2 linked regions of the Sus scrofa genome follow. The main gene of each other region encodes a partner of the protein of the gene in region 2 in a complex. Links are inferred from orthologs where the notes say so. Each region holds a gene or a part of one and is shown on either strand. Other genes may lie near its edges. The genes, in order: CSF3 and CSF3R.

The links.
Region 1: the proteins of CSF3R (region 2) and CSF3 are in contact, whole or in part, in a crystal structure (PDB 2D9Q), measured with the Homo sapiens proteins. The link is inferred for Sus scrofa from reciprocal best matches to the Homo sapiens genes CSF3R and CSF3. Residues at the interface, in NP_000751.1 of Homo sapiens: Arg164, Arg190, Lys191, Leu193, Leu194, Leu195, Tyr196, Gln197, Asp220, Met222, His261, Ile262, Asn263, Arg311, Pro313, Leu314; in NP_000750.1 of Homo sapiens: Ser42, Leu45, Lys46, Glu49, Gln50, Arg52, Lys53, Leu141, Asp142, Asp145, Thr148, Thr149, Gln152.

What each region holds. Positions count from the first base shown.
Region 1 is NC_010454.4:22,332,769-22,336,841, forward strand, and holds CSF3 (granulocyte colony-stimulating factor), read right to left. Parts: upstream 2,717-4,073; 5' UTR 2,604-2,716; coding exon 2,262-2,603; intron 2,176-2,261; coding exon 2,029-2,175; intron 1,679-2,028; coding exon 1,514-1,678; 3' UTR 677-1,513; downstream 1-676. UniProt on the Homo sapiens protein: Granulocyte/macrophage colony-stimulating factors are cytokines that act in hematopoiesis by controlling the production, differentiation, and function of 2 related white cell populations of the blood, the granulocytes and the monocytes-macrophages.
Region 2 is NC_010448.4:92,555,753-92,559,555, forward strand, and holds part of CSF3R (granulocyte colony-stimulating factor receptor), read right to left. Parts: intron 3,439-3,803; coding exon 3,142-3,438; intron 2,206-3,141; coding exon 2,082-2,205; intron 1,927-2,081; coding exon 1,739-1,926; intron 718-1,738; coding exon 548-717; intron 434-547; coding exon 280-433; intron 1-279. UniProt on the Homo sapiens protein: Receptor for granulocyte colony-stimulating factor (CSF3), essential for granulocytic maturation. Plays a crucial role in the proliferation, differentiation and survival of cells along the neutrophilic lineage.

The sequences.
Region 1 (4,073 bases), on a different chromosome or scaffold from region 2:
GGCACAGAAAGCCTTGCCTGGACCCTGTGCTGTGCAGCGGCCACTCCGGTCTCCCTGGATGGGGGCTCAGGCCTCTTCAGCCCATGAGGCCCGAGAAGGGCAGGAAGGTGGCAGGCTCCCTGCCAGATGGGAGGCAGAGCTGGACGAAGGGAGGGACATGCAGAGCCTAGAACTTGGGGTCTGACCCACGCTGTCACTTTGACCTCAGCTTCCTAATCCGCAAAAGGCCCCTCGCAAGTTTATCTTTGTGGGCAGCCAGGAGCGTGGATGGGAGGTGGTTTATGAGAGGTGGTCGCCTGACAAAGCCCCGTGCAGACGGCAAATCCTCCCCCGCTTCGGGCCAGCGTCCATCTGTGTCTGGACTCGGGCCCTCCTGGCCCCCGCCCCCACTCTCTCCTCTCCTGGTACCGGTGACCCGTCTGCCTTCTGTCCTCCCCACTAGGCTGTGGCTGCATGAGGGCAGGGACCACGCCTGCCTGTTCCCTGCCACGCACCCAGTGTCTGCACCCCCTCTGCACCCAGTAGGTGCGCAATGAAGACCTGCCCGTGGAATGACTGCCCAGGCGGCCTCCCCGCACCCCCTCTTCCCCCACCCCGCCCCGGCCTCGCCCGCCATCCAGCTCCTGCCCGCACCCCCTGGCCAGGCCCCAGCTGGACTCAAGAAGGAGGAAGGACATTTACTGAGACAAACACTTTATTATCGTGAAGTTTGGCTCCAGCGAGAAAGTGGGGGCAGAGGCGGAAGGTGAACAGCCGAGCGTCCCTCTCACACCCCTCGGCGGCTCTTCCCTCCCACCGTCCCAGTCCCGTCCAGCAAGGCAGAGACATGACCCATGACCGTCTGCCCGGCCCTAAAGGGAGTCCGGATCCCGACCCCGGCAGGGTGGGGCGGTGTTATGAGCCTGATGGTGTCTATAGCGCGTCCAGAAAAACAAGAGGCGGCGCTGATGCCTGGGCTCCCCACACGAGGGGTCAAAACGTTCAGAAAGAAAAAATCTTAAGAAGGAGAATGAGATTCCCCAGGGTCAAGTGTCCCAGTCCGTCCCAGCTCCAGCTGCCTCTGCCAGGAAGCCCATCGCGAAGGGGGCGAAGGGGGCGCGGGGAGGCAGCAGGGGCCAAGAGGAAGGGGTACTAGGACCCAGTCGGGGAACACTGCTGTTTAAATATTAAACAGGGCTGTCTTGTCTCCCACGTGGGAGACTTCCCAATGCTTCCAAGGCCCCAGGTGGGCACCCTTAGGGTAGGGGTTCACTCAGTGCCCACCGCGGAGCCAGGCAGGGAGCAGTCACCGGATGTAATACTTGGTATTTACCAACTACCTCCCAGTCCAGGGGACGGGAAGATGGGCATTTTTCTCCCTGCTACAGGCGGGAGAATGAAACTTGGAGGAGAAGGGAAGGACCCAGGAGACTGGGACTCCTTTCTGTCCCCCCCCCCCCGGGCTTTAAATATGAGGTTTAAATAGGCATAAATATTAAATAGAGATAAATACACTGGAAGGGGAGGGCTCTGCTCAGGGCTCGGCGAGGTAGCGCAGGACACGGTACGCCAGCTCCAGGAAGCTCTGCAGCTGGGAGACAACCAGGACCCCTCCTGCCCGGCGCTGGAAGGCCGAGGTGAAGGTCGGCACGGTGCCCTGGGTGGGAAGCGAGGCCGGGGCCATCCTCAGGTCTTCCATCTGTGGGGGAAGATGAGAGCAGCCGTCAGACCCTGCCGAGTGGGCATTACCACTGCGAGAAGGAAGGGCTGGTGGGCCGTGGAAGGTCAGGGTTAGTGGTGAAGCCAGGACCAGAACCCAGGACTGTTTCAAGGTCCTGTGAACTGATTCACACCCCCAACTAGGGGAAATGGGGGAGGGTCCTGGGATGGGCTGGTAGCTCCATACCTCCAACGCCCCCTGCCCCTCCCAGCCCTGCAAGGCTCCTGCCCCAGCCCTAAAGAACCCCGGGATCCCCGGGCTGGCAGCACGGCCTTTGAAGACCATCTGGGTCCAGGCCCCCAATGCTTGCTGCTCCCAGAGAGACTCACCTGCAGCCAGATGTTGGTGGCTAAGTCGGTGACATCCAGCTGCAGTATGTCCAGGGCGGGGGCCAGCTCTGGGGAGATGCCCGCCAGGGCCTGCAGGAGGCCCTGGTAGAGGACGAGGCCGCCATGCAGTTGGTTCAGGCAGCCAGTCTGGGGGGATGGGGAGGAGTCAGGGGGTGTTCCTTCCAGATCACCTTTCCTACCCCCTCACCTCCCTTCTCCCCTCCGGAACTCACCAGCTGCAGGGCCTGGCTGGAGCAGCTGCTCAGGGAAGCCTGGGGGAGGCCCAGAGAGTGCCCGAGCAGCACCAGCTCCTGGGGGTGGCACAGCTTGTGGGTGGCACACTGGGGGCGGGAAGGATGCCGAGTGAGGGGGGCTGACAGGGCTGGGCTGTCCTCCCTTCCGAGCGCCCCCATCTCTCTGAGGTCTTTTCCTCCTTCCACCTCCCACCAGGCTTCTTGCTCCCCTTCCTCCGTCCACTCCGCAGCCAGCCCCTCCCAGCACTGTCCCCAAGAAGTTCTCCCCCGCCCCCAGCTCTGTGCCAGTGCCCAGGGCTCCACCTCTCCTTGCCAGTCCATTACCCCCAGTCTCTCCTCTCCCAATCTGGAGGCATTCTTTCCCAAGGGTCCCTTCGCCTCCTTCTCCCCCAACCTCTCCTCTGTGCCCCCTCCTGCAGCACCTCTGTCCCCTCCCTGACCCTCCGCTGCCGGCCTCCCTCACTCACCAGCCTCTCCTGCAGCTCGGCGCCATCAGCCTGGATTTTCCTCACTTGCTCTAAGCACTTGAGCAGGAAGCTCTGGGGCAGGGAGCTGGCAGGGCTGAGAGGGGCGGCTTCGGGCACCATCCAGAGTGCAATGTGCCAGAGCAGCAGCTGCAGGGCTGGGAGCAGACAGGGGCTCAGGGAACGTGCCGTCCACTCCACCTGAGTCCCTTTCCAGGATCCTAGGGACCCCCAGTCCTCTGCCCCTCTGCCCCTCCCCACGTCCAGGGCCCCGGACACTCACCCATCAGCTTCATGGGGCTCTGGGCAGCAGGCTCAGCCGAGGGTCTGGGTGGGTCTGTAGGTTCTGGGTTCTGTCAGGGACCAGATCTGGGGGCCTTTATACATAAGCCCATGGAGGCCTGGGAGGAAATTACCTGGTGCCGCGACTAAGGCTTAGTAATAACTTCCCAAGACTTATGCAAATTTGTTGTCCAGGACAATGCAGGGCGGTTGGGGCAAAACAAAAAAAAAAAACTGTTTGCGAAAGTTTTGTGAAATTGTGGAATCTCTGATTCTTCTTTGACGTCTGGTCCCCCTCGGACTCCCTTCCTCCCCTAGCCCCACCCAGGCCTGCATTGCCCCAGGGTGTTTGAACCGCTAAACAAAAGCTGAGCCAGTGATAGAGGCCTTGGGGGCTGGAGTAAGGTCAGAACTCAGGGCAGAGGCAGGCCTCCCTCCCTCCCCGGCACATGTCCCCATGAAGCCCCCTTTGCCACTCTCTCTTGGGATTCTCAAGCCACCTGCTCCCTCAGCCCCAGCTCTGAGAAGGAAGAAGCTAGGTGCTCCCGTTTCTATCCCCCAAATTCCCAGGCACCTGCCTCCCTGAGTGCCCTTCGGAGGGGCTGGAGCCTGAGATAAGGACATGGGGGTCTTGCCTCCTGTCCCCAGCCCACACTGTGATAGGCACCATCCCAGGTTCCTGTTCTGAACTGGGTAGCTGGGAACTCCCCAATCCCCCCCATGACTCATTCCTTTAAGCCCCCGGAATCCTGGCAGAGACTGGAGGAAACCGGATGACTGTCCTGATGAAGCAAGACCCTTCGAGCCTCTTAGTTCACCTGACCTTGCCCTTCCTCCTCCTCCCCCCGCACTACCCCTCCCCCGACAATGTCCTAGTGCTTTGGGGCTTGAGGATCTGGGATATGGGGCTTCCCTGGCCAGGTTCACTGCCAGCCAGAGTATGGGTGCTGTCCTGAGCAGAGAAGGGTGAGAAAGAAGAAAGTGCCTGGCTTCAAACTGGAGAACCATGCACTGTGAGCGCTGGAAGGGACTTTGGAGTTCGTTC
Region 2 (3,803 bases):
ATGCTGTGGGTGCGGCCCTAAAAAAAAGACAAAGAATCCAGTGTTGTCTCTGAGGAGGCTTGGGGTTTGATCCCTGGCCTAGCAGAGTGGGTTAAGGATCCAGCGTGGGTCGCAGTTGTTGCTTGGATTTGATCCCTAGCCCAGGAACTTCCACATCCCGTGGGTGCAGCCAAAAAACAAACAAACAAAAAAATTGAAAAAAGAAGAGAGGGTCAGGGAGGGCCCTGGAGGCTGGGCTGGGTCCCCATGGCTGCTCCAATCCCCTCCGCACCCACTTACGCTGCTGTGCCGTGGTCAGCTCCAGGCGGGGGCTCCAGTCACTCCAGCGGCCGGGCAGGGGCCAGCGGGTACAGCGCATCTGCAGTGTGTAGGCTGTGGATGGGAGGAGCCCGCAGAGCTCATACTGGAGGGACCTGGAGGGCAGGGCACCCACCTGGTGGGGGGCGTGGCTCTGAGCCTGGATCCCTGTGCTCTTGAGGGTCACCTCAACCTCCCCTCTCCCCACGCCCCCCCCACTCCAGGCTCCTGAGCTTGCCCTCCGCCTCACCAGGTCCCAGCTGGATTCTCCACGCTGTGGCTGGTGGCGCAGCTCACACTTCTGCTCTATGTGCAGGCTTGGCTTCCATGTCTCCCAGCGCAACCTCAAGCAGCCAGGCTGCGGTGGGGCCACCTCAGGGCTGGGCTCCAGGGCCCACAGGGTGGGAGGCTCCAGTTTCACTGCAGGGAGAGGGGTTGTCAGACGCTTGCCCTGCTCCATCCAGGGCTCTGCCTCAGCTTCCGGTTGTCTCCTTGCCTGGGGTTTTATTTTCCTCCCTGGGTCTCCATTCATGGGATTTCTGTATCCTTCTGTCTCTCAGTGTCTCTTCATCTCTGTGTCACCCTGTTTCTTCAGGTCTGTCTCTGCGCATGTGTCTGTTTCCCTCCCTGTTTCATACTCTTGCCCCAGGGCCTTTGCACTGGTTGTTCCCTCCAGATACCCAGTGGCTCGCTCCCTCATTTCTTTCAAGGATCTTCTCAAATATCACTTTCTCCATGAGGCCTTCCCTTCCTGACCACTTCCTGGAATAATAGCAACTGCCCTCCCTCTCCAGCTCCCCCTGTCCCACCCCTGCTTAACTTCCTCATCACACTCACCATTACCTCACATTCTATTTTATTTTGCCCACTAGAATGTAGCATTTCGGGGGCAAGATTTTTTTTTCTTTTTGCCTTTTTCTAAGGCCACTTCCCGCAGCCTATGGAGGTTCCCAGGCTAGGGGTCCAATCGGAGCTATAGCCACCGGCCTACACCAGAGCCACAGCAACGTGGGATCCGAGACGCATCTGCGACCCACACCGCCGGATCCTTAGCCCACTGAGCAAGGCCAGGGATCGAACCTGCAACCTCATGGTTCCTAGTCAGATTCGTTAACCACTGCGCCACATCAGGAACTCCAACCGGGGGCAAGATTTGTGCTGTGTTGTTTATTGCCGTGTGCCTAGCACATCATGAGTACTGCAGGAAATTTACTGAAAGAATTAAAAAGTGTGTCTCCTTGCCGTGTTTCTTCCGTGTCCATGTCTGTGTCGCTATAACTCTGTCTTCAACTGCACTGTGTTTTTGTCTCTTCTCTTCCTCTCCCTCTAGGTCTTCCAGCATCTGTTTGACTGTCCCTGGGCCTGTTTCCCTCCCTGTACCTCTCTGGGTCTGCCCACATTGTGGGGGCCTCTCCCCTCCCCCACACCCTGCGTCACCTACCCATGTCCATGGGAACAAGGCACAGCTTTGGGGATGTGCTGGTCCCCAGCGCGTTCTTAGCCTGCACCCAGATGCTCATATTTTGGTATAGCTGCAGATGCTTGCGGGGGATGGAGCAGTGGTTTTGCCCATCCTCAGGCACGCAGTCAGGGATGGAATCCTCCTGGGTCTGGAAGTTGCCTCGGCTCCTGCCAACAGGGTGAGCTTGGGTGTCAAGCAAAGGAGGAAAGCCAGGCTCTTCCGTCTCTCCCATCGATTCCTCTGGCTTCCCACCCCCTCAGTCCAACCCATGCTCTGTCCCAGGACCCAAAGGACCGGGGCTGGAGTAGAGACCCTTACTTACTTGAAGCTCTTCAGGGTGAAGTGGGTGGAGAGGTGGGTGTCGGGGCCTGGCTCCCACTGGCACTTGAGGCTGTTGGTTGTGAGGTTCAGGAGGCAGGACAGGTTGTAGGGTGGGGGGGGAGGGTCTGTGTGGAGGGTGAGGAGAGAGAGGGCTTCAGGAAAGACCATTCAGGAAGCGCCCACTGGGACCAGTTGGCCTCGTTTCCTTGCTCTGGGTCATTCTCTCTGGGATCACTCCACGCAGGGTGACCCCAGAGGGCCAGCCCTGGGGGAAACTAAGTTCCAGGCATGTACAGGGACAAGGACCATGGGGCTACCAACCCTCTTAACTCCGCTCCTTTTGACAGTAAGAGTGTGGCATCTGGGTTCTCATCCTGGTTCTGCCATTCATTAGCTGTATGATCTTGAAGTCCCTTAACTGCTCTGTGCCTCAGTTTCCTCATCTATAAAATAGAGGTTATGCTAATATACCTACCGCTTAGGGTTGTTGTGAGGGTTGAAGGACTTACTATGTATGCAGTGCTCAGAGCAGTGCCTGGCTTGCAGCGAGTGCTCTGTAAGTGTTAGCACTTACTGTTATTGATTCTTAACTAAGAATCTTGGTCTTTCTTTGTCTTTAAAGAAAGGATTTGGCTTGGCACAAATCCATCCTTCTCAGTTTGAGAAGAAGGCTGCATCTGTGGTAGTGGGGAAGCTGAGAGCAAGCCCAGCTCATAGAGAAAGGCCTCCCTAGATACACTGTCCTGCAGTTGGAGAGTTGGGCTTACTCGGCAGCCATGTAAAGCAGCAGTTACTCTACTGGCTTTTGAGCCACAATGCGTGCGTGATATAAATCTTGGCCCCATCCTTATTGGTTTGTGACCTTTAGCATGTCACACCCCCTTGCTGAGCCTCAGTTTTCTCATCTGTGAAATGGGGCTCAATAACACTCCCCACTGGTAGGCACGTGATATCTTGCCTGTAAAGTGTGTATTGAGCCAGAGCGCACGTAAGAATAGTTCTTATTAGTATTGGCAGGAAGGCATTGGAGGCAGAGTGGGTGGATGGCTGCAGGGACTTACAGCCTGCCTGCAGCTCTGCCTGGTCCAGGATCTGCAGACCGTTGCCCCAGTGCAGGCAGCAGGAGAGAAGGGCCCGAGAGTAGTTGAAATGGGGGAAGGTGATGGTGGACTGCAGGGTCCCATTCGGCAGGTGCTGCTGCCTCCCCCCAGGCTGAAGCTCTGTGTCCAGTTTCCATCGAATCTGTGACTCTGGGCCAAGACTGGTGCAGTTCTGGTTGATGATGCAGGACACTGTGATGGGATCCCCTAGGCGGATGATGGGGGCTGGGAGGCTGATGTACCCGCACTCCTCCAGGCCTGGGGGAGAAGAGAATCGGCCATAAGTGACGCCTCTGCCTGCTAGAGCTGGGCTCCTAGACCCAGTCCTCTTAGACTCAGTGCCTTTGCCGTCCTGCTTTACCCCCCAGGATGTGGGAACTGGAGTGCGGAGGATGTGTACGGGGACTGTGAGAGGCTCTCAGGGGTGAGATTGAGCTGTGTGGGTAGATGTTTATCAACTGGCTACACAGAGAGAAACAGATCTGGGTTTGTAGCATGGGCTGCTTTCTCTGGTGTAAATATTCCCACCGTGGTTAATTTCAGGCTACCAGTGTGTGACATCACTGAATGTGAACTTGGAAAGAGATGACATATACAATCAGCGCTTGCAGGCCGACACCAGC